Caenorhabditis elegans: one gene and its partners. The protein of the gene in region 2 interacts with the protein of the main gene of each other region in a pairwise test. Each region holds a gene or a part of one and is shown on either strand. Other genes may lie near its edges. The genes, in order: sem-5, F54D5.5, mpk-1 and lin-36.

The links.
Region 1: the proteins of F54D5.5 (region 2) and sem-5 interact in a two-hybrid assay, tested with the Caenorhabditis elegans proteins (3 studies listed by BioGRID).
Region 3: the proteins of F54D5.5 (region 2) and mpk-1 interact in a two-hybrid assay, tested with the Caenorhabditis elegans proteins (3 studies listed by BioGRID).
Region 4: the proteins of F54D5.5 (region 2) and lin-36 interact in a two-hybrid assay, tested with the Caenorhabditis elegans proteins (3 studies listed by BioGRID).

What each region holds. Positions count from the first base shown.
Region 1 is NC_003284.9:7,958,946-7,963,499, reverse strand, and holds sem-5 (Sex muscle abnormal protein 5), read left to right. Parts: upstream 1-1,776; 5' UTR 1,777-1,787; coding exon 1,788-1,865; intron 1,866-1,915; coding exon 1,916-2,016; intron 2,017-2,187; coding exon 2,188-2,310; intron 2,311-2,357; coding exon 2,358-2,465; intron 2,466-2,513; coding exon 2,514-2,650; intron 2,651-3,149; coding exon 3,150-3,289; 3' UTR 3,290-4,047; downstream 4,048-4,554.
Region 2 is NC_003280.10:11,564,033-11,568,663, forward strand, and holds F54D5.5 (uncharacterized protein), read right to left. Parts: upstream 2,989-4,631; coding exon 2,811-2,988; intron 2,687-2,810; coding exon 2,595-2,686; intron 2,349-2,594; coding exon 1,638-2,348; intron 1,586-1,637; coding exon 1,297-1,585; intron 730-1,296; coding exon 521-729; downstream 1-520. Other genes in the region: F54D5.15 (ZM domain-containing protein), read right to left, coding at 88-121.
Region 3 is NC_003281.10:4,225,044-4,229,657, forward strand, and holds the start of mpk-1 (Mitogen-activated protein kinase mpk-1), read right to left. Parts: upstream 3,052-4,614; coding exon 2,848-3,051; intron 1-2,847. Other genes in the region: F43C1.5 (uncharacterized protein), read left to right, coding at 4,154-4,222, 4,268-4,384, 4,505-4,614. UniProt on the Caenorhabditis elegans protein: Functions in let-60 Ras signaling pathway; acts downstream of lin-45 raf kinase, but before the lin-1 gene product in controlling vulval cell differentiation. Plays a negative role in proximal germline proliferation in the mitotic zone.
Region 4 is NC_003281.10:8,016,097-8,022,741, reverse strand, and holds lin-36 (Protein lin-36), read left to right. Parts: upstream 1-1,868; 5' UTR 1,869-1,871; coding exon 1,872-1,970; intron 1,971-2,026; coding exon 2,027-2,125; intron 2,126-2,200; coding exon 2,201-2,784; intron 2,785-2,885; coding exon 2,886-3,006; intron 3,007-3,081; coding exon 3,082-3,620; intron 3,621-3,721; coding exon 3,722-4,130; intron 4,131-4,253; coding exon 4,254-4,658; intron 4,659-4,724; coding exon 4,725-5,182; intron 5,183-5,230; coding exon 5,231-5,297; intron 5,298-5,512; coding exon 5,513-5,620; 3' UTR 5,621-6,094; downstream 6,095-6,645. Other genes in the region: F44B9.2 (uncharacterized protein), read right to left, coding at 1-279; F44B9.5 (Lipid droplet-regulating VLDL assembly factor AUP1 homolog), read left to right, coding at 6,205-6,328, 6,396-6,543. UniProt on the Caenorhabditis elegans protein: Required to negatively regulate vulval development. Antagonizes Ras-mediated vulval induction. Acts cell autonomously.

The DNA of each region.
Region 1 (4,554 bases), on a different chromosome or scaffold from region 2:
TTGGGTTAAGTTTCTGTTAACGATACAAATTCAGAATGTTTTACTGAGAATGTTAATCTATTCGGTAAATCGGCGCCACTTCTCAACCAACTTTAGCCATTTTCTAACTGTCATTTGCAAAAGTGGCAAAAGTTGGTTAAACAGGGTTTTTACGCTCTAAGCAACTAGAAAAAGTGTGTGAAAGTTGACGAAAGTTGGTCGAGAAGTGGGAAGTGGTGGAAATCTAATGGCAGTTAGAAAGTGGCCAAAGTAGGTTGAGAAGTGGCCACGAGTTGCCGACTACGGAACCTAGTAAATTTATTGACAAATCAGTCACATAACCTTGCTCTTGGAAGTTCACACTGTAAAACAGTGAGAATTTTCAGAAAAGTTATATGGATATATTTAAAGAACCAGTGACAAAATTTAATATTTTGGTTCTTAAAAAAGTTAATTTCAGTCATATATTAGTTTTACTATAGATACTGTTCTTACGATTTTGTATTAGTCAGGTAAATACACATTTGTCAAACTAACTAGTAGTAAATACAGTTGGTTTCCAGCTAGAAAACACTATTCCTTATTATATTTACGTACACTCACCGATTAAAATGTCAAGTATTTATGAGTAACTGTCACAGGTTCGATTATCTTTTTTATATCGGTTAAATTATAGTCTTATTTCGTAATTTTCATTAAATTTTTTAACTGCTAAATAATTTTCCAGCAACTGAAGTTCAAAAATTTGATTGAAGTTGCAATCTATTTATGTTTCCTATCTAATTTATCATCTCTAGCCCTATTTCCGAAATAGTTTTCATTTTTATTTTTGAAAAGAGAATCGGTACTGACTACCCAGCACACCCAAATGTTTTGATTTCTAGACGGTTAGTCACCTCAGGCTGGACAGGACAAGGTGGGAGTGTGTTTGTTGACATTCTTCTAATCGATGAATTGCAATACCCAATGCCTTGGAGCATTTTCAATTTGATTCTTTCTTCTTCGTTTTCTCGTGTTCTCTTATCACTTTTCATTTGTTCTTTTCCGTTTCTCCGGCCATTCATTCAAAAGTGTAAGAAAAGACGTGCATGATGACTGCTGATAGCGTATCGCACTTTTTTCTCTGAATCTCCATTTGAAACCATGTAAATTACAGAACTCATTGCGGAAAACAGTACGGTCCGGCCTGCCCAAACTCGCCGTTGTTTTTGTGTGTGTGTGGGAGAGACAGATAGAGACAGTGCGAAGATGGGAGAGAAAAAAGAGACACGAAGAACGCGTGATAGATTTGGAGTATTAGAGAAAAGTAGTGTCGTAGCATTCGGCACATTTAGTGTTGCATACAATGCGCCGGAATCGACGACACTTAGTGTTGCCCCGGTTTGTTACTCTCCGGTTTCTACTGTTTCCACTGTTTCCCCGTTTTCACGTTCAAACACTCAACTAAAACCACCTCAATCACCGAACTAGTGACCCTGCGGGTTTTTATTTTGCGTTCTGCGTTTCTCAATTTCATTTATCCTTCTTTTTTCTCGCCGGTCCTCTTACTCATCTCCTGTTACAATTTGCACTACGCTCTTCTCATTCTCATTTTCCCTCTCAGTTGTTCCTCTATGCTTTGCCGCTAGATTTTTTTATTGCTCTAATAATTTTTCATTGGCGCCGCGCGGATATGTCGATATGTAGATACAGTCTCTCAAGCAGGCCAATTTATTGACAACAATGTTTGTTCAATGTACTCTGTTATGTTTTATTTTGGTGTTAATTGTTTCTGAAGCTGCAAAGAGTATATTTCAGGTAGCGAGACGATGGAGGCGGTCGCCGAGCATGATTTCCAGGCGGGATCACCTGATGAGTTGTCTTTCAAGAGAGGAAACACGCTAAAAGTTTGTTCAACAATATCATAACCGGGCCCTGATAAAATCAATAATTGCAGGTTTTGAACAAAGATGAAGATCCACATTGGTATAAAGCTGAATTGGATGGAAATGAAGGATTCATTCCTTCTAATTATATTCGTATGACTGAATGCAATTGGTATGTTCGGGAAAAAATAGTTTGACTTTTTTGAGGATTTAATCTATAAGCTTATATTTTAAAAATCAGTCGATCTTACTTCTCGCGGTTTTTGTTTGTATACCCCGCAGCTAGGGCGCGAAGAACTGAGAACGCTTGCGTAAACAATTTTTAAAATTTCTGGATTTTTAGGTACCTTGGTAAAATAACAAGAAATGACGCAGAAGTATTGCTGAAAAAGCCAACCGTACGTGATGGTCATTTCCTTGTCCGACAGTGTGAAAGTAGTCCAGGAGAATTTTCGATCAGTGTTCGGTAAGAAGATGTTATAGATTTTCAAAAAGTTATACATTTTTTTCCAGATTCCAAGATTCTGTACAACATTTCAAAGTTTTGCGTGATCAAAATGGTAAATATTACTTGTGGGCTGTCAAATTCAACTCTTTGAATGAATTAGTTGCTTATCACAGGTGAGTCACACTTTTTCAAAAAAAAAGTAAAAAATCAATAATTTTCAGAACCGCTTCTGTTTCGCGTACTCACACAATATTGCTGTCAGATATGAATGTGGAGACTAAATTTGTACAGGCCCTGTTTGATTTCAACCCACAGGAGAGTGGAGAGCTAGCTTTCAAAAGAGGAGATGTTATCACTTGTAAGTGTTTTTGAAACACAAATTTTCATGATTTTAAAATGTTCAATTGAAAGTTTGAATCAAAAAATTCTAGGTTTAATTGAAAATGGTAAAAATGGATATATCTTGGACTGTATTTCGAAAATTTTGAAACTATTCACTTTATAGATCTTAAAACAAGAATATTTAAGAAGAACCATAAAAATAACAAAAAGGTAATACAAAGTACTAGGAAGATAATATGAGACGTCTTGCTTAAACTAACTTTCACTGGAACAAATAAATGCACGTATTGAAAATCAGTTGTTAGATTAGTTTTTGTATAAACTCAAATTGAAATGAAAAAACTCTGTGGCTATTATTTACTTTTCGGAGAAACATTGGATTTCAAGATACAATTTGCAGCATTATGAATGTTCACAACGTAAAAATAGAGTTAATCGGTTGATCATCTATTTGTCGGGGTTGAGCAACCCCGAAAAATAAAACATTTAGAAAATCTCTTATATTTTATTTTCAGTGATCAACAAAGACGATCCAAACTGGTGGGAAGGACAGCTGAACAACAGGCGTGGAATTTTCCCATCCAACTACGTATGCCCTTACAATAGCAATAAGAGCAACTCCAACGTGGCTCCTGGCTTCAACTTTGGAAATTAGGACGTTATTTTAGGATTTTTCCTGTCTCTGTTCGTTCTTTAAAAGGAGCGTTCAATGTTTCTTCTATACCATTTGTTCTTGACATAGTAGTCTAATAAGCCCTCTCTTACTTAATCTCCAATAATAATCACTAAATCTTGTCACAAACACACTTTCCAATGCTGGGTATTAATTTCACAACTTTCTCAAAACTGAGATAAGTTGTTCGTGTTTTACATGTAGACCATGAATTTTCAATGTTTTTATTCTTTGCAACTTGGAACTGCCATTGGCAATGTTTTATCGATTTTTTGTTCGGTTTCGTTGGCAATGATACAATTCTTGTTGTGTTATCAACAGCCTTTTCTTTCCCGCTTTCTTCCAACCCCACACCAATTCTATTACGGATCTATTAAGCGATTAGATACTCTGACACAATACTCAGAGACTGTTCGCATTTGTTTTTTTTTGTGTTCATGCAATTTTTGTCATAACTATTTGCCATTTCTCGTCATTGTCTCTCTTTTTCTTTTGACATTTTGCAATTCATCCAAAACCAATACGATTTTTCGTTCGGTGCTACATTGTTCGGTTTTATCACAACTCACACTGTTCTGATATAGTTTTATCACTTCATTCTATTCCTCCGGCTCAATCTCTTGTCGAGAGCATCATGAAGCTTCTCTCTGCCTCCCACTTTACTCGCCGTCTTGCTTTTATATCGAATTTGTCAAGTATTTTCCAATCCCTTTGTAAATCAATGAAGGTTAATAATTATTATATTAATCCACTTTCTATAATTTTTACAGAACATAATTTGTAGATGCAAAGTAGTTTATCTGGAAAATTTTGCATGTGGAGTTTCCTTTAATGACATTTTCACATTTTGCAAGCTAGTTTGAACAAAATACTCAGACATTTCGAATTTTAATAAAAGTCTTCTCCGATTAGTTTTAAAGTTTATACGGCTCTAAAAACGAAATTAAACCATTAGTTAAAATTCTATAACGAGTCAATGATAATAATTAAAATGAGCGTAATGGGTTGTGAAATCTTTTGTCAACGGAAAAGGTGAAGTGGTATGTTTTTCGAACTTAAAAATCAATTTTTTTTCAACCAAAAAGCGCGCCGTCTTTACTTATTTCTTGGATATACCAGATAACAATTTATTCTAAATTTTAAGTTATTTTTTTAAATTATAATTTGTGAGTCTCAAAAATGCAATAGTGCTCTCAATTTTTTTAAAGCAACGTTAATGTCTTTTGCTTTACCACACCTTTGATTAA
Region 2 (4,631 bases):
TCCTACTTTTTTTTTTTGAAAATATGTTATTATTAATTATAAATATTAGTTTTATCAAATCGGAACCAAAAAAATATTAAAATTAACTGTTACTGATAAACGGTGCCGATCGATGTGCCATAAAGTGATGCAGGAATAGGAAAAATCGAGTAGTAGAGGAAGGGATAGAGAATGGCTCTCGGACTCTTTCCCAATACGAGAGGTGAAGATGCGTGAAGTGCTGATGGCGCCGACGCAATAGATCAGACGAATCAAGAGCCGCAGAGAGTGGAACGCGCGGAGCCAGAGCATCTCCAAATGTTTCGACCGGTGGTGGTGATGAGAGCCGCACACACATACAAACACAACTGATAATATTTGGATTTGTGCGGAAAGACAAGATCCTGTTTCGGGTTTATTAAAGAAGAGATGGTTATAAGGTAGAAATGAAAAAAAACCGACATAACTCTTGAGAAAATTGAATACAAAAAGAGAAAGTAGAAAAAATAGCTGACAATCTGGAAAATGGAAAATAAAGCAATTAAATCGACATCATAGAGAATGGACGAGACGGTGGCTTCCGATTCTCCTTATCTATTGTGGAATGATCAAGTAGAGTCACTTGGCTGTCAGCAGAGCTTGACGGAGAAATGCTGTCGACTTCTTTAGTACTTCTTGAAGTTTCGATTAAAAGTTCGGAACGATAGTCTTTCACTTCATCTCGATCATCATCTCCGTAGTTTGTGGGCACTGAAATTATTTGAAATCATGATATAGTCTTTTAAAGCTTCATGTTGGTTTTATCTACAAGAACTGCGAGAATTTATACGCAGACTTCTCAACAGATTTTGAATTGTTCAAATCGTACTGAGACCAATTTTTTCTGGGCAAAAAGTTCTGTATTTACTGTAGATCATACGGAAATGGGACACCAGAGGTGCGGCAAATTTGCCGAATTTGCCGTTTGCTGAAAACTAATGGTTTCGATCAGAAACTTAATGAAAAAAAATAACATTGTGTTTCTTTCATTTTTTTTTATTCAAGAAATCCACACGCGCATTGGGCAAAAATTGAGCGAAACCAGTTTTTGAGCTTCAAAAAATATTGCGATTTACCGAGTATGACGAGCATGGCAAAATTGCCAAATTTGCCGAGTTCGGCAAAATTTCAAAATTTGCCACACACCGTGAAGCAACAAATATAATTGAAAATTTAAAGCGAATTTATATGGCAATGAACATGATTAGATATTAGATTATTGATTGAAATTAATGTTAGAAGAAGAAGTATCGTTTGAATAAAAAGTTTCGGACGCACCCTTGAATCCTCCAGGTGGTGGAGTCATTCCCGTAAGACCTTGAGAAGTTGGTTGAAGGAATGAATTTTGAAGGAAGCTGACATCAGACGGATTTATCAATGACTCTCCGGCTCCACTTGTCATTGTCATCGGTGTGTTGCTTGATGGTGGAGCACTATTCATGAAGTTAGATGACATGTGGTGAGAAGCATTCATGGATTGGCTCATATAAGGGTAGGAGCCCATGCTCAATGGAGGTGGATATTGCTGAGGATTTGATATTTGTGGTTGACGGAGATGGTGGAATGCCTGAAAAATTATATTTATTTGAGGGTTCTCTGAAATAATAATATGAACTTACATCATATCCGGAATTCTGGAAAGCCTCGAGCTGCTTCTTGCACCGACTGAGCTCTTTTCTATAGCAATCCCGCTCCTTCTTCACTTTATCCAACTGATTCATATAGTGGAACATGGCGTTTTTGGCATCATTGCACTCTTTCTCCATATCCTTCAACTTTCTCTTTTCTTCCCGTCGCTTTTGTTCAGACTCTTTGTACTTTTGCATGTAATGTTGTTGAGCACGCTCGATGACTGCAAACTGAGCCTTTTCACTGAAATCATCATTTTCTGATTCTTCAATTCTGTCCTCGTAATGTGAATGACGACTGCTGTATTGTCCAACCGGTGATGGATCACCACTTCCGTATTCTGAAGATTCACCACGTCGACGGAAATCACTTTTGCTGCTATGATGACGTCTGCTACTCGGTTTCCGTCCTTCGTCTATCGTGTAGTTTTGTCGCATCGACTGATGAAGCACGTCACGCCTCCGATGTGAATTGCTCTTCTGTGAATACTTGTCAGACTCGTACGACACATCTGACTCGTCACGATAACCTCCCGGACAGCTTTGAGGACCTTTACGAAGTTTTGGTGCTGATGTTGTGTGATAGGCGGCAGTGGCGGGAAGAGCTCCATCGTCGGCGAAGCGAGCAACAGCTCGTCTTTGTGATTTGGAGGATGAGGTGCTCGGTGCACGGAATGAACGGCGATTGGAGACTTCGCGAGCCTGGAAATTAACAATTTGAATTTGAAAATTTCAAATTTCACGTGATGTCAGAGTGCACCATGTTGGCTTGATCTACAAGAATCACGGAAATTTAGACGCGACTTCTCAACTGATTGGAGGAAAATTTCCGCGTTTGTTGTAGGTCAATCCGTAAAAGGACAGTCTATTTTCAATGCACTTTCTAGTTTTGAGATATTAATTATCAATCACCAATATAAACCAAAAAATAAGTTTAGAAAAACTAACCAAATCCTCGTTATTCTCCTCATCTCCCTTTTTCGATTTTTTGCTCTTGAATAGTGTTCGTATGATCGCCGCCATTTTTGTAGTATCTGCGGCTGAAAAAAACTGAATTTAAAAAAGTTCTAATGAAAAGGCGTAGACACAAAAAAACACGAACGGAAATGAAAGAGAAAGAGAACAGTTCATTAAGTAAATGAGGGGGAAAGGAGAGGAACGCACAGTGGGAGATCAAAGCGAGCCGAACTGGGTGGTCAATGGGGAGAACATGGGGGCCTATAGAGTGAGTGGCGGAGACCTTGACGGACAGTGAAATATGGACTGGAAATGTGGGGAGATCAATTGGTGAAAGAGTTATTGGCGGTTTGAAAAGTAGGTCAAAAAAGACAAGATAATGCATTGGGAAAGTTCCACTTTTTCTTCCCAAATTCTGAGCACAAAGAGCTTATCGATTGAAATCTAATCTAAGAAAACAAAAAAAAACGAGTAAAATTTTGATATTGGATAACCAGAGGTCAAGTACTAGAACTCCATTAGTACGGTAAGAGCAAGCAGAACTATATCAGGAGCTCAACTTACGTAATTCAACAAGTCTCTCCCGACTGTACGCCTCATAAGGTATCGGGAGGGTGTGTTAGGAGACGGGAAGAAGAGAAAAATGGTGTGGAGACAGCAGTCACCAAACCGCCTGTCTCCTCCTCTCCTTTCACCAATAGACGAGGTCTTCTCCAAGCGTTTGCGTCTGCGTCTCTTAGTCTCGCGCGCTCTCTCCCTAGCCCCCTTCGGACCTCGCAATCGACGATCAGCATCGAGGCGGTGTCGAGTCTTTGAAGTGGAGAATTGCGTAGTGTGTCTCCTCTTCTTGGTGCTGCCAGCGTTGACGATTTGAATCGCGATGATTGCCGCCACAAATATAACCGCGACGCGCGGACCGCTTCGCATCCTATACATGGCAGAAGGTCCGCCTAATTCGAATTGGAGAACGCGCGCCTCGGGAGGAGACGGATATGACATTAAGGGTATAATGGGCATGAGAAGCATGAGAAGCATGATAGATGTCAAATGCAAATTAATCCGAGTTTGAAAATAAGCAGGAGGAATCTGTTGACCTCTCTAGAATACAAACACATGAGATTTTACAGTAACGTAACTAGATGCTAAAGAATCTGGAATTCATGAACAAATATAATATGTTTTCCGTCAGAACTTATTTGAGGAAAAAACATTCGAAGAAAATGGTTTTTAAATTAAATTTTGAATATTGGCCAATTAGACAAGACAATATTTCGTGGGCCCCACCACGCCTTGAACGCGTGTACTGTAGCCTGAAAATTTGTTTAAAATTTTAAGAAATTTGAACTTTAGAAGATATTTTCTGTCAGAAAATTAATAAAATAAATAGTTAGTGAAATGAGACTAAACTATAACTTTTGTAGAAAACGTTTGAAAAATTGCAAAGCTGCCCAAAGTATATCACTCAAAAACCGGTCAAACTACCAATTTTGGCATCTTTTTTTTTTTGAAAAAAATCAGTACACACTGACAGAAAAGTACGAGCAAACAGAAAAATAACCGCCGCTGAAGGCAATTCAAATAAACGTTCGGCATTGATCCTTTGAACTGTCCAGAACAAAGGGTGGTGATTGCAACGGAGCAGTAGTCGGTAGCCGGGAGGTATAACTGAACCACGTAGTAGAATTAGAGTGTGTAGTTGAGCAAGATATTATCTATGTACCAAGTTAGCATTAGTTATTGGTAAGTAGCAATATTGATTTTTGTTATCTAAAGATCTTAAAACCACTTTTATAGTTCTAAAATCACAAAATAACACAATTAATCTCTTCAACAAGAAAAATTAATTGTTAAAAATTGAACTTTTTAATAGACTTCGTTTTTGCCTACCACAGTTCAAAGAAGTTTAAACAAGGTTTATATCTTAATTTGGTTTAACCTTTGTTGCACTCGAAACTATTCAAAAAAGATACCAATATTTTGATAATTTGGTAATTTACCAAAACTTTATTTAAATATTGCCAAAAATCT
Region 3 (4,614 bases), on a different chromosome or scaffold from region 2:
ACATCAAGGAGAAGCATCAACTAATGTAGACGTTGTGGTGCAAATACACTTAGAAGCCCTTTTTGGAGTAGAGAAAAAGGAAAAAAAGAAGAAAAGACGAGTTTCTCCATTTTTTGAGTTAAATGAGGCGAAGAGGAAGGGAAAAAAGTATTCAAATGACTGGATCTGCACCGATGAGCACAACACGTTAATGAAGTTCGAATAACGAATTAAAGGATATAGGATGCATGTCTTTTTAGTTCGACATAGAAAAAAGGAGTATACTTTTCTATTTTCCTTTTTGCAGTTGCGAACTATCATTTTTTGAGAGTAAATAAAATCTCGCGTCACTTTTTTCTTTTGCAAAATCTGAGATTCTCGCCCAAATCACAAATCCAGAGATTAAGAAAACGCGGAATTTTCGATGAAATGGAAAAGAGAAAAAAAAATCTCTCACAAATGAATTATTAGAGTTTGGAAAATTAATCGTTTTTATGTTACGATGAGATTTAATGCGGAATATGGAGCTAGCAAGTTCAATTCTGAAAGTCGCAAAGTAGAAAAGAACCTGCCGAAATTTTTTTGAAATCCATATAAAATTTTAATGAAAATCGATCTTTTGAACGAGCTCTTCTTGTCGTCCGCATTTCCATCTTAAATCTCAAATTTCGAAGCGTGTAATTCTACGCTTTTCTCTTCTTTCTAACGTCTTCAATTTCTTCATCTCCTCCTACTCATCATCTTCATCGACAAATAAACCAACGCGTACAATTACGGTTTTACGATTCCGAGGAGAAGAATGATGAGTGTTGCTCTTCTTTCATATCAAATTGGTTTTTTCTTCCATGCAGCTCTCCACGCAACAATAAAAACCGAACGAAAATGAGAGGAAATCCGACACAAAACACACCCAATTCCGAGGAAAATTGAAACATATGTGTTGTCGAATGAGTAAGAATTTTGAAAGAAGATTCAATTCGAGAAATAATGTCGGGAAATTCAGTTTGTCTCAGTTGCAAAAACTTCCGGGATATTGGAAACGTTCCGAGTGAGAATTTGGCCAATTGAACATATGAGTTTTATAATGTTCAATGCCTTTTTCAACTTATTTCCATGGTTTTTCAGATGTAAAATTCCAGATTTTCAGATTTCTGGTTCAGAATTGAATATCAGATTCTCAAATTTAAGGAAAAATTGGTAGTCGGAATTTTTGTTTTCATTTCCTGTTGAGTTCGCATTCATTCTATATAGAAGAAACTATAGATTCATCATGACAAAAAATGGTATTCAACAATTGTAACAGATGTATGAAGTTATTAGATAAAAAACTAATTAGTTTCTGAAAACTACTACTGAACACTTTAACTCCGGAAAAATTCAATTTCGATACTGTGAAACTACAATGAATCAATCTACATTCATTTTGAGAAACATAAATAATACACAAAGTACCTCACACCTCTGTCAGTCATTCACCCGGGTACACAACGGGATTTCAAAATAATAGTTTGTTGATGGAAAGCGGGTAGAAGATAGATCAACATCAATTATTAGTGTAAATCCTCGGGGTTCCCAAAGGAATACGTGTCAAAGTACAGTAAACTGTAGCTCAAGTCCGGAAAAAAGGAAAAATCTGGGTCATCTAGGCCAAACGCACGAAGAAAACTTCCGGAAGATGGATTCTTGTATTTGAACACTCCTTTTCGATTTTTCCTTGTTCGTTTAAAAGTTCTGATTTTCGGTTTGAAAAAAAAACATTGTTTTTCTCTCCAATCTCCGCTTGCACGCTGGAATGTCAATCAGACGACCAATTCAATTAATTCTATTAGATTTTAGATGTCTTAACTGGAAACTTTAGAAGAATGCAAATATATTCAATTTGGGGGACACTCAGATTACGGTAATTTGTAGTGGAACCTCGAAAATACAACTATTACCCAGTAGCGAAATTTTAGGATTTTTACGCCAAAAAATACGGTACCCAGTTTCGATTTTTTAAATAGTTTTTCTCATAATTAAAAAAAAACCTTTTTTTTAATTTGAGGTTAAAAAAAATTTTATCGAAAAATTTTGATGAAAATTACACAGCAAAGTTTAAAATTACAGTACTCTTTAAAGGCGCACACTTATTTGCATTTACCAAAAAATGTGTCGTTTCGAGACCGGGTATCGCATTTTGGGATACATACGAAATGTTCAAGTTGTGAACAGTTTTTTTCTACTAGCAGAAATTCAAATTTCGTTGAAAAACTACGATTCTAAGAGGTGTTCCGGTATAAACTAAATACGTCAATGAAGTGTCAATCTGCAAAAATCATCAAACCTTCAAGCTTAAAACACAAAGCACAATTTCTGGTTTAAAATTTGAATTTTTTCATTCAAATCAACCATTTTCATTGAGCTATTCAAACTTTCACACTTCCGTTTCTCTCTTTTCCAATTCAAAAACTACCAATCAACGTCACATCACTAATCTTTTCTTCCAGCACACACACACAGTACTCTGTCACGGTAGTCTTAATAGGCTAATAAAAGTACAAAGTTAGTGGTTTTGATGCAATACGCAACTTATTTTCCCGATAATGGGAGCACAATGGGCAAATCAACCCGATTACGTGCTATGTTCTGATTATTTGAACATTGTGCACTTTTTTGAAAACGTTTTGTGAATTTTGCAATTAAATTGAATGACTTAATTTTTTAATGTATTTTTACTTTCTAATTTAAATTCAATGTAGAAATTCAATGCAAAAATTTCAAATTTTCCAACTGACCAAAGAGCATTTTAATATTTTTCAGCTTCTAAAAATGCTTGTTTTTGTTTATTTTTCTCCAACTTTTTTTTTCATATTTTCTTATCATTCGTACCTTTCTATGTCCTGAACGAGTGTACTGCCATTTCTGTTGTCTGACGTGGTTGGTTGCTCCATTCGGTATGTTGCTCGAATTACGGTATGCCAATGATCCCGGAGCAGATTGTTGTTGTGTCGCTTGTGGATGCCCGTTCGATGGTGGTTTAGCATTTCTCGTTGTCGGCTGTGCGCACAAATTGTTAGGTATCCACGTTGGCATCATGTTTCGTGGTTCTGAAATTAAAGAATTATTAGTTTTATGAAGAAGAAGTTCTGGCAACGGATAAAAATATTTGAGAGTGTGAAATATTTCGTCGGAAAAGAAATTTCTGATATTGCAAAGGAACTTTTTTTGAAAATTCCCTCAATTTACCAAATTTAACTGTTAAAAAAAACTATAGATTTCTTTTTCTGAATTTTTAATGATTTTTTTCAATTTTGCAAAAATAAAAGAAACGGCTCCATGATTTTTTTTTTGATTTTTTTGTGAAGAAAACTTGACGACCTGAAATAAAATTTCGGAAACTTTAAAATCAGTTCAAAATTCGATTATTTAACTATTATTTCATTTTTTGTTTAAAAATGTATGAAAAGTGAAATTATAAAAATCCATGAATTTTGCCAGAAAGTGCAAAAATTCAAATTCCCTTCCGCCGATTTTGTATTTATATTTCAGCGAAATTGAATAAATCATTGAAAAATTAAACACTGTTTTTTTTTACAGATATATTCGGGACATAAGGCAAATTTTCGTATTTTCTAGCTCAATGGATACACTAAATAAAGGAAAAAAAATCGTATAGAACTTTTCCCGCAGTAAAAGTAAAACTGGCCAACTATGTAAAAACAGAAAATGCAGAAAATCTATTCGAAAGTTGTTTTTATGAATAAAAAGTCTATGAGTTTCTCCTCGTCAATTAATTAGCTTCGTCAGAAAATGCATAATATTGTTCCTGTTTTGAAGCCATTTATCTTTTGTATGGTTTCCCAAATCACTATGTTGAAGTAAAAAAGAGCAAAAATCATTTATGATGTCAGAGAAAGCTTTTTTCCGAACTTTAGAGACTCTAACTTGCAGTTTTTCAAAAAAAAAACTCCGAGTTTACTAGCAATTTCACTCCAAATTCTGCCTATTTTCCCTGTATTTTTTCATAACTCTCTCACCGCAGACCGATAATACAATCACCATTGTACACACACAACACTGTCTCATTCTTTTTGACCGCCCACCCAAAATGTTTAATATTTGTACGAGCGTTCTTCTTCATAATGCTGACTCATTTCATTTTCAACACTATTTTTCAGCTTTTTCTAACGAAATAATGACGGATTATGATGACTATGAAGACCGATCTGGTGTGGTAGAAGAAGAACTATTGGATTTTGATAGAGTACGTCTAGAATCAAATTTGGCAACAAATTTTCAAAATATTCAGGCAATGCTGGACTTTCAAGCTATGTTTCCCAGTCTAAGCAATTCACATATTGAATATGTTCTACGGAAATATGATGGAGATGTTTCAGCCACTATTAATGAGCTACTTTATGATAACGTATGTTAATTTTTTTGTTTATAGAAATTATTGCTTTACTACACGAGAAAGCACTGTCAGCGAGAATATTGTATCTCAATTGTTCAAATTTCGATCGATAAATTCCAAAAATAATTTCAGACGCCAACTACAACGACTTCTGAATCTATTCCACATGGAGGAGACTTAACAAAATTAAGGCAGCGAAGGCATGAAATAAACGAAAAACTGAGAGAAAATCAAAAATTTTT
Region 4 (6,645 bases), on a different chromosome or scaffold from region 2:
AGCAGGAGCTGCATCTGGAACTGTTGAAAGCACCATTGGAGTTATCTGTGGGGCTAATGGAGCAGCTGGAGGAGTTGGTGGTGGAGCACTGATTGTGACTTCAGGTGGTCCATTTGATACAGAAATAGTTTCAACTGATTTTAGAATTGGTTTATCAAATGCATCACTCAATACAGGTGCAGCTTCAATGATAGTTGCTGGAGTTGTTGGAGATGTTGGAACTGATGATTGAGCTGTATCTTCACGAATCCAAACTATATCATCTTCATCGTCAGCCATCTAAAAATAGAAATTGTACTGAGTTTTGATGCTTCATAAAGTAGAAAAAGTATGCGAGATTGGTTTTATTCAAAAAAAACTCTTGTAGTAGTAGTGATATGGATGGCATGTTGGTTGTTTTGTTGGCAATAGAGAAATTGGCAGAACGACGGAAGAGGGTTTAGAGGCCATTTTTACACTGTTTTGAGCCCGCCTGAGTGAGCATTAAACACTGAATAGTGTGTAAGATGAAGATACGCAGAGTTGCACACGGACTTGATCAGTGAAATCGGGGGAGGAGAAGGAAGGGATCCGAGAGATTTTAGACTTGAGAAGTGAAGATAGGTTTTTGGAAAATTGACACCTGGAAATTTAAGATTCATGCATGAACATTTACGCGAGCTACAATTTATTGTAACTTGATTAAACCATGAAACAATTTTTTTACAAATGCTTCCCTAGAGAGGCCGGATATTAAAAGTACAGATGGCAGAAAACTTTCATTTGTGTGAGTACGGTAGTCTGATTGTTTGTTATTGAGTTTAAGAATTTTTCACTATTTGTTTTTTAATGTGTTTCTTGTCTTTGGGGGTTTAAGTCGACTCCCAATAAGAAGTTATACCGTAATCGCTTTTATGAAGAGATGTCTAATGACTTGTCATCTTTGAAATCTTTTGCTCGTGCTAAGTATTGTATTCAGACGAATAATACATTATAATTTTCGAAAAATGTAATCACTTCACAAGCCAGGGCAAGAATTGCGCTTCTGTATGAGCTGTCACCAGATTATGATTTTTAATTGTGTACGGAAGAAAAATTGAGAGCATCTTAAGAGGAAGATGCATCTTCTGAAATAATTTTTCTAAATAAAAATCAGAATTATTTTTCAGCATTCCACCCAGATTACGTGTCTGTTATAATCGTTTCTGGAAGACATTCTATTAGATACCGTACCCCGAAAACTAGAAATCCTATTTCTAGTTTTCGGGGTACGGTATCTAATAGAATATGAGTACCTGAGTAAACATCACTTACTATACGCATATGTTTGCTCAAGCTTCTACTATACCTGAACCTAGAGAAAACTGTCTTCCGTTCGATTTAATTTGGCAACGAAATGTTCCAAGCTTATGATGTTCCCGTTGTAATTAATTAATTCCCCTGCTTTAAATCACTTATTGTTAACGAATATGTACTTCTCAAACTCCTGGTGTTATCTCCGTGGTATTTTGGATAAATTGGTGTCAATCATTTATACAAATGACCTGTCTCCATATTGATATCATCAATTCAACGTCCCTCCAGTTCCAAGTCGCTTGTTCGGCGAGAGAGCGTAGCAAACGGAGAGACGTCATAGAAAAAGTACGCAACCGCGCGTGGCGGTGTTTGCGTACATCAGATGAGTGGGAGCCAGAATTGTACAAAAATTGGCCGGACAATTATCGATTTTTACACTTTCGACTCATTTTTCACTTATTATCAATGTTTTTCGTTATTATTTGTATCTCTTGAGCGTTTTAAACAATTAAATTCACTGTATTTTCTGTTTTTGTGCTCAAAATGTGTAGAATTTGCAAAAGAAAGGCTTTTCCAAAAATATTTGATTGCAGGAAATGTCGGAAGAATTGCTGAGTACTAGACCCAGTAAAAGGGATTATAATGATATTGAAGAACCAGAAGACTCACACGTGACGGTGCACTCAGTTGAACAGGTATGGTGATAATTGAGAAACATTCTCGCCGCTTATGAATATCAATGCATTTTTAGGATTCACAGCATTCTGGTGAAGAATCCTCAACTGTAGACGCATTGCAGGAAACTGAGGGTGATGTTGACGTAATAGGAGAAGATGAGGACGAACACGATGTACGTTTACATTTTCATTCTCGTATTAATGCATGTGCCCATTGGCCGGAATAGAATACATCATTTTATTTTCAGATTCCCGTAATGCCAACTGTCACATCAAGTGGTGAAGTTCTTGATGAAAGCCAAGTCACTCCAACTAAACAAGCTTCGTCGTCACAACCAAGAGAAGAAATTATCCACGGCAAAGGCGAAAGTGTCTACTCCAGTTTTCCGTGCCAAGTTATTCCGGAGACTTTAAGCCGAATGACACGAACTCCGCCAGATGGAGAGCATTTAGAAGTGTACCGGATGTCAAATGGGAGACTGAGAATATATGTTGTTGATCATTTCAAGAAGTTTTCTCCATACTCCAATTTGACTCATAAGCCATGTACAGTTTGTAATCGAGTAATGAAATCGGGAGAGATGCATCTAAACTTCCCAGCAGACTTGGATAGGCGCAGAATTTGGGCAAATTTGCTTGGATTCAAATACAAAGATATTCTTCGCAGTAAAATGGGTCCTGTATCGTTTTCAATTGCTGCCGGTCCAATTTGTACTGAGCACTTCGCCGAGGAGTGCTTCAGGAATCACAATTTCAACAAATCTGCCATCGAAGCTTTTGGAGTTCCTGTTGCTATTTCACCAGACGTTAAGACGACACCGAGTAAAAAAAGGTAAGAAGAAAAGCTGGTTCTGCTCGAAACGAAAAAGCTTGTGAATGAATATGTTAGCTCGATTTTTGGCTAAAACATCCTCTTTCACGATTTTATAAAAGTTCCAGAGTGCCATGGGTCTGTACCGTATGTGAGTTCCACTCGTGCAGTGTTGTCGAGCTTCAGACACATCTTCTCAATCACACGGAGGAAATGCTCAAGAAAAAAGATAATGTTTTGGATGTAAGTTCAAGCTTTTTAGTTAATACTCTTATTTTATCACATAATTCTTATAACAAAAATTAATATTTTTCACAGGTCCCAGAAGCTGGCTTCATGTGCCCATTCTGTAGAAAATGCACATATGGTTACAAGACAATATCTGGATATCGTCGTCACTTGAATGCTGGCCCCATTCATCATTGTCATCTTCGTAGAATATATGAATTCGCTAAAATGAACTGCCGCGCTACTGAGTTGGATCCAGCGGAAAGCTGGGATAACTGGACTCGTCGCAACGTTTATGTGGCATATCACGGCTGTGAACCACCAGCAAATGAAATCGTACTCACACCTTCACCAACGAAAAAAGCCTACGTGCAAAATCCAGAAGAGCGTACGAAAATGGTTCACGATGAAGAGAAGAGAAAGAAGGCAGTGAGGACATTATCGTTTGTTGGAAAAGAAGGTGGTACAAGTGTGAATGATCTGAACGTAATGCAGCGACAAGTGTTTCTGCAATTGAGAAGAGAAGCAGAGATTAATACAAAAGCAGAAGAATCGGCTCAAGGAACGAAGGAGCAAGAGAGCAGTCAGAAAAAACATGCAGAAGAAGAGTCAGACGATGTTTCTGAACTGTAAGTTTTGTCAAAAAATGTTCGAGTTAGAGAACATCCTGCGTAACGAAATTTAAAAAATCTTACTAAATGGAAATCAAAGAAGCAATTAAATTTTTTAGAACTTCCCATCAGTCTCCACAAGCTCCAATGGGATCTGGTGAACGACGTAAAGCAACACGTCTCGCAACTTCCGCTACAAATTCACCAATCAAGAAGGTGGCAAAACACGAAGTTCCTGCTACAGCTCCATCAACTCCAGCTAAGAAACGGAAAATTTCACACGAAGAAGAACACGATCCAACTCCTGAAAGTGTAGAGAGAGAACCAACAGTTTCACCAAATGATCCACGTGAACGTCTTCGTTTGAAGGAACGAGATGAACAATTTGCCAAAATGGTTCAGAAAAGATCTCAGCAAGTTAAGCGATTGATCAATGCCAAACAATTCAAGAAACAAGAAGCAGCAACGAAGAAGCCGAGAAAGGCCTTGGCTTATAATTTGGCCAAAGGGATCGCTGCTACTTCTTCGGTGAGTTTTATTTACTGAATTTATTAAATAATAGATTAGAACTTAATTTGTAACTTTTGAAATTCCTCTTTTACTTTGTAGCATGTTGAAATTCGAATTACTAGGATAATGTTTTTTATTCAGACGGAGCCAGAAGACAAAGTGACATCTTCGGAGCAGACACCAGAACCGACAACAAGTCAAAAATTTATCGCCAGAAATACACGATCGAAAACTAAGGAGAGTGCTGTTCAAAAAGTTGAAAAACCAGCAACTCCTGTCGCAAAACCGGCACCAGTAGAAAAAGAGCCGGAAGAACGCCCTCTAAAATCAATGCTCGCGAGATCTTTTGTTGCTGGAGTTCGTCCTTCGATGGCTAAATATCAGATTCCATTAGAATCGTTCACAGCTACTGCATCACTTGGTGGAGGACGTTCATTATCTTCTGGAGTCATATCAAGACCACCAACTTCATCCTCTCCTGGCGGGATCTTTTCTCAAAGAGTTATGGGAGCTGTTGCACAAGAAAAAGGGCCTGCTAAGAGACCGGTAAGTTTAATATATTAGAATTATTTATTAGGAGACTTTGATATTTTTTCTAATTTATTGCTTCAGAGTGTGCTCTCCCGAAGACCACTGATCCTTTCACCACGAAAAAAAACATCAACTCCACGACCAACACTCTCCCATCACGAGTCATCGCCAAACTTCTCAGCATCTTCTCCGGTGGTTGTTTCTGATGAGTATCTGATTCCAGCAACGGATATGGAAGTTGAAATGGTCGAAGAAGTCATTGATTCTATGGGAAACTCATCGTCTGAAGATGTTGCCACTTCTTCAACATCTTCCGAGAGGCAACCGATGCTTACGCTGGCAGAGGCTCTTGAGATGGATGGTTCAAGTGGAACAGTTAAAGATCAAGATATGGAAGAAATCTCAAAAGAAATGATGAAAGATGCTCATTACTACAGAGCAATGGAAGACGCTATCAAATGTCGCACCGTGACGAAAATGCGCGCTGACATGAGACTTTCCCGTCATTGCATCCGGCAAATTGAAGCTGCGAGAGCCAGGTGAGCCCATGGGAGGTCTACTTTGATAAATCGTTTAATTTTTTGCAGAGCTCGTCTGTTTGGCGAAAGGACTGAAGATTATCAAATTTTCTACTCTAACGATGGAGCACAAGTGGTATGTTTTTATTAGTTTCAATTCTGAATTTTAGTAACAATTTTCGTTTTTTAAAAGATTTTATTTATGTTGTTCTCAATTTGAAACCATTTGCTTTGAAAAAATTCCGATTGAAACATCAAAAATCACTGATCACAACACAATTTATTTTAAAAACATGTTTTCTCCGCTATTTGGCGTTATCAATCAGTTTGTTTCATTCTTATGATTTTCAGCTCACCAAAAAAGATCCAAAATGGCGTGAACTTCAACAACAACAACAACAACAACAACAGCAGCAAGAACAATTTCCAGGACAAGGATCATCGGATTCTCAACAATAATTATTTTTAATTATCAAAGAAAGTGCCTCAAAATTCAAGATTCAAAAGTCAATTGTCCTTTCGAGGATCGCCCCACATTTCTTTCATGTGAACTATCTCTGTTTTATATCCACAGAAGTTATCCCATTTTACTTTCATTCGAAATTCTTGAAATCTGATAAAAACTCCGACTAGGATAGATTTTCGTCTAGATTTTTAGGATTTTCACATTTACTTTTTTCCCATTTTTTACCCCCCCTCCCCCCTATAATTTACTTTCCAAAATTAATAGTTTGTTTTACTTTCCATAAGCCCCCGCCCCCTCCCCAAAAACCACACTTTTTCTATCATAAATTAATCTGAATTATTCACAAAAAATGAGCCAAAGTCTATTTAAACGTTTCCCTAGTTTTCAATTACATTCAAGTTTGAAAGATATGTGCGTTTGTGTGCCAAATATGACTAAAAGTCAATAAATAAATGATTTTGCTTGGTAGGTTTTTGAAAAGAGTTTTCAGATTATTTTTTCTATAGGCTACCTGATTATCCATAACATTATATTTTGAAAAAACCATGAAAAATTTAAAAAAATCCTAAAATTTAGAATGGCATCACCAGAAGCATCGTCTTCTGGAAATACAGAAGATCTTCGTATCGAAGATTTATTCCATCAAAAACGAAATGAAGATACGATTGCTAAAATATTTTCGATTATTTATGCTCCAGTTGGTGAGATTTTTTTCAAATTTTTTGACACATTCCAAAAAGTAAAAGTTTTAAAAAATCAAAATTTCAGGTTTAATTATTCTTTTAATTCGTGTTTTCCTCGGTTTCCACACATTTATTGTTGCATGTCTACTCAGAAAATCTGCTGCTTTGAGAATGCACACTCTTCGAATTATGTGCTCAATTCTCGGAATTGTCGTTGAAAAATCTGGTCACAGGTTTGTGATTTTTTTTTTGAAAAATATTTGATATCTCCAAAAAAATAGAAACAAGTTACTGAAAAATTGGAAGCTTGCCGTATTGCCCAGGCGCAAATTTTT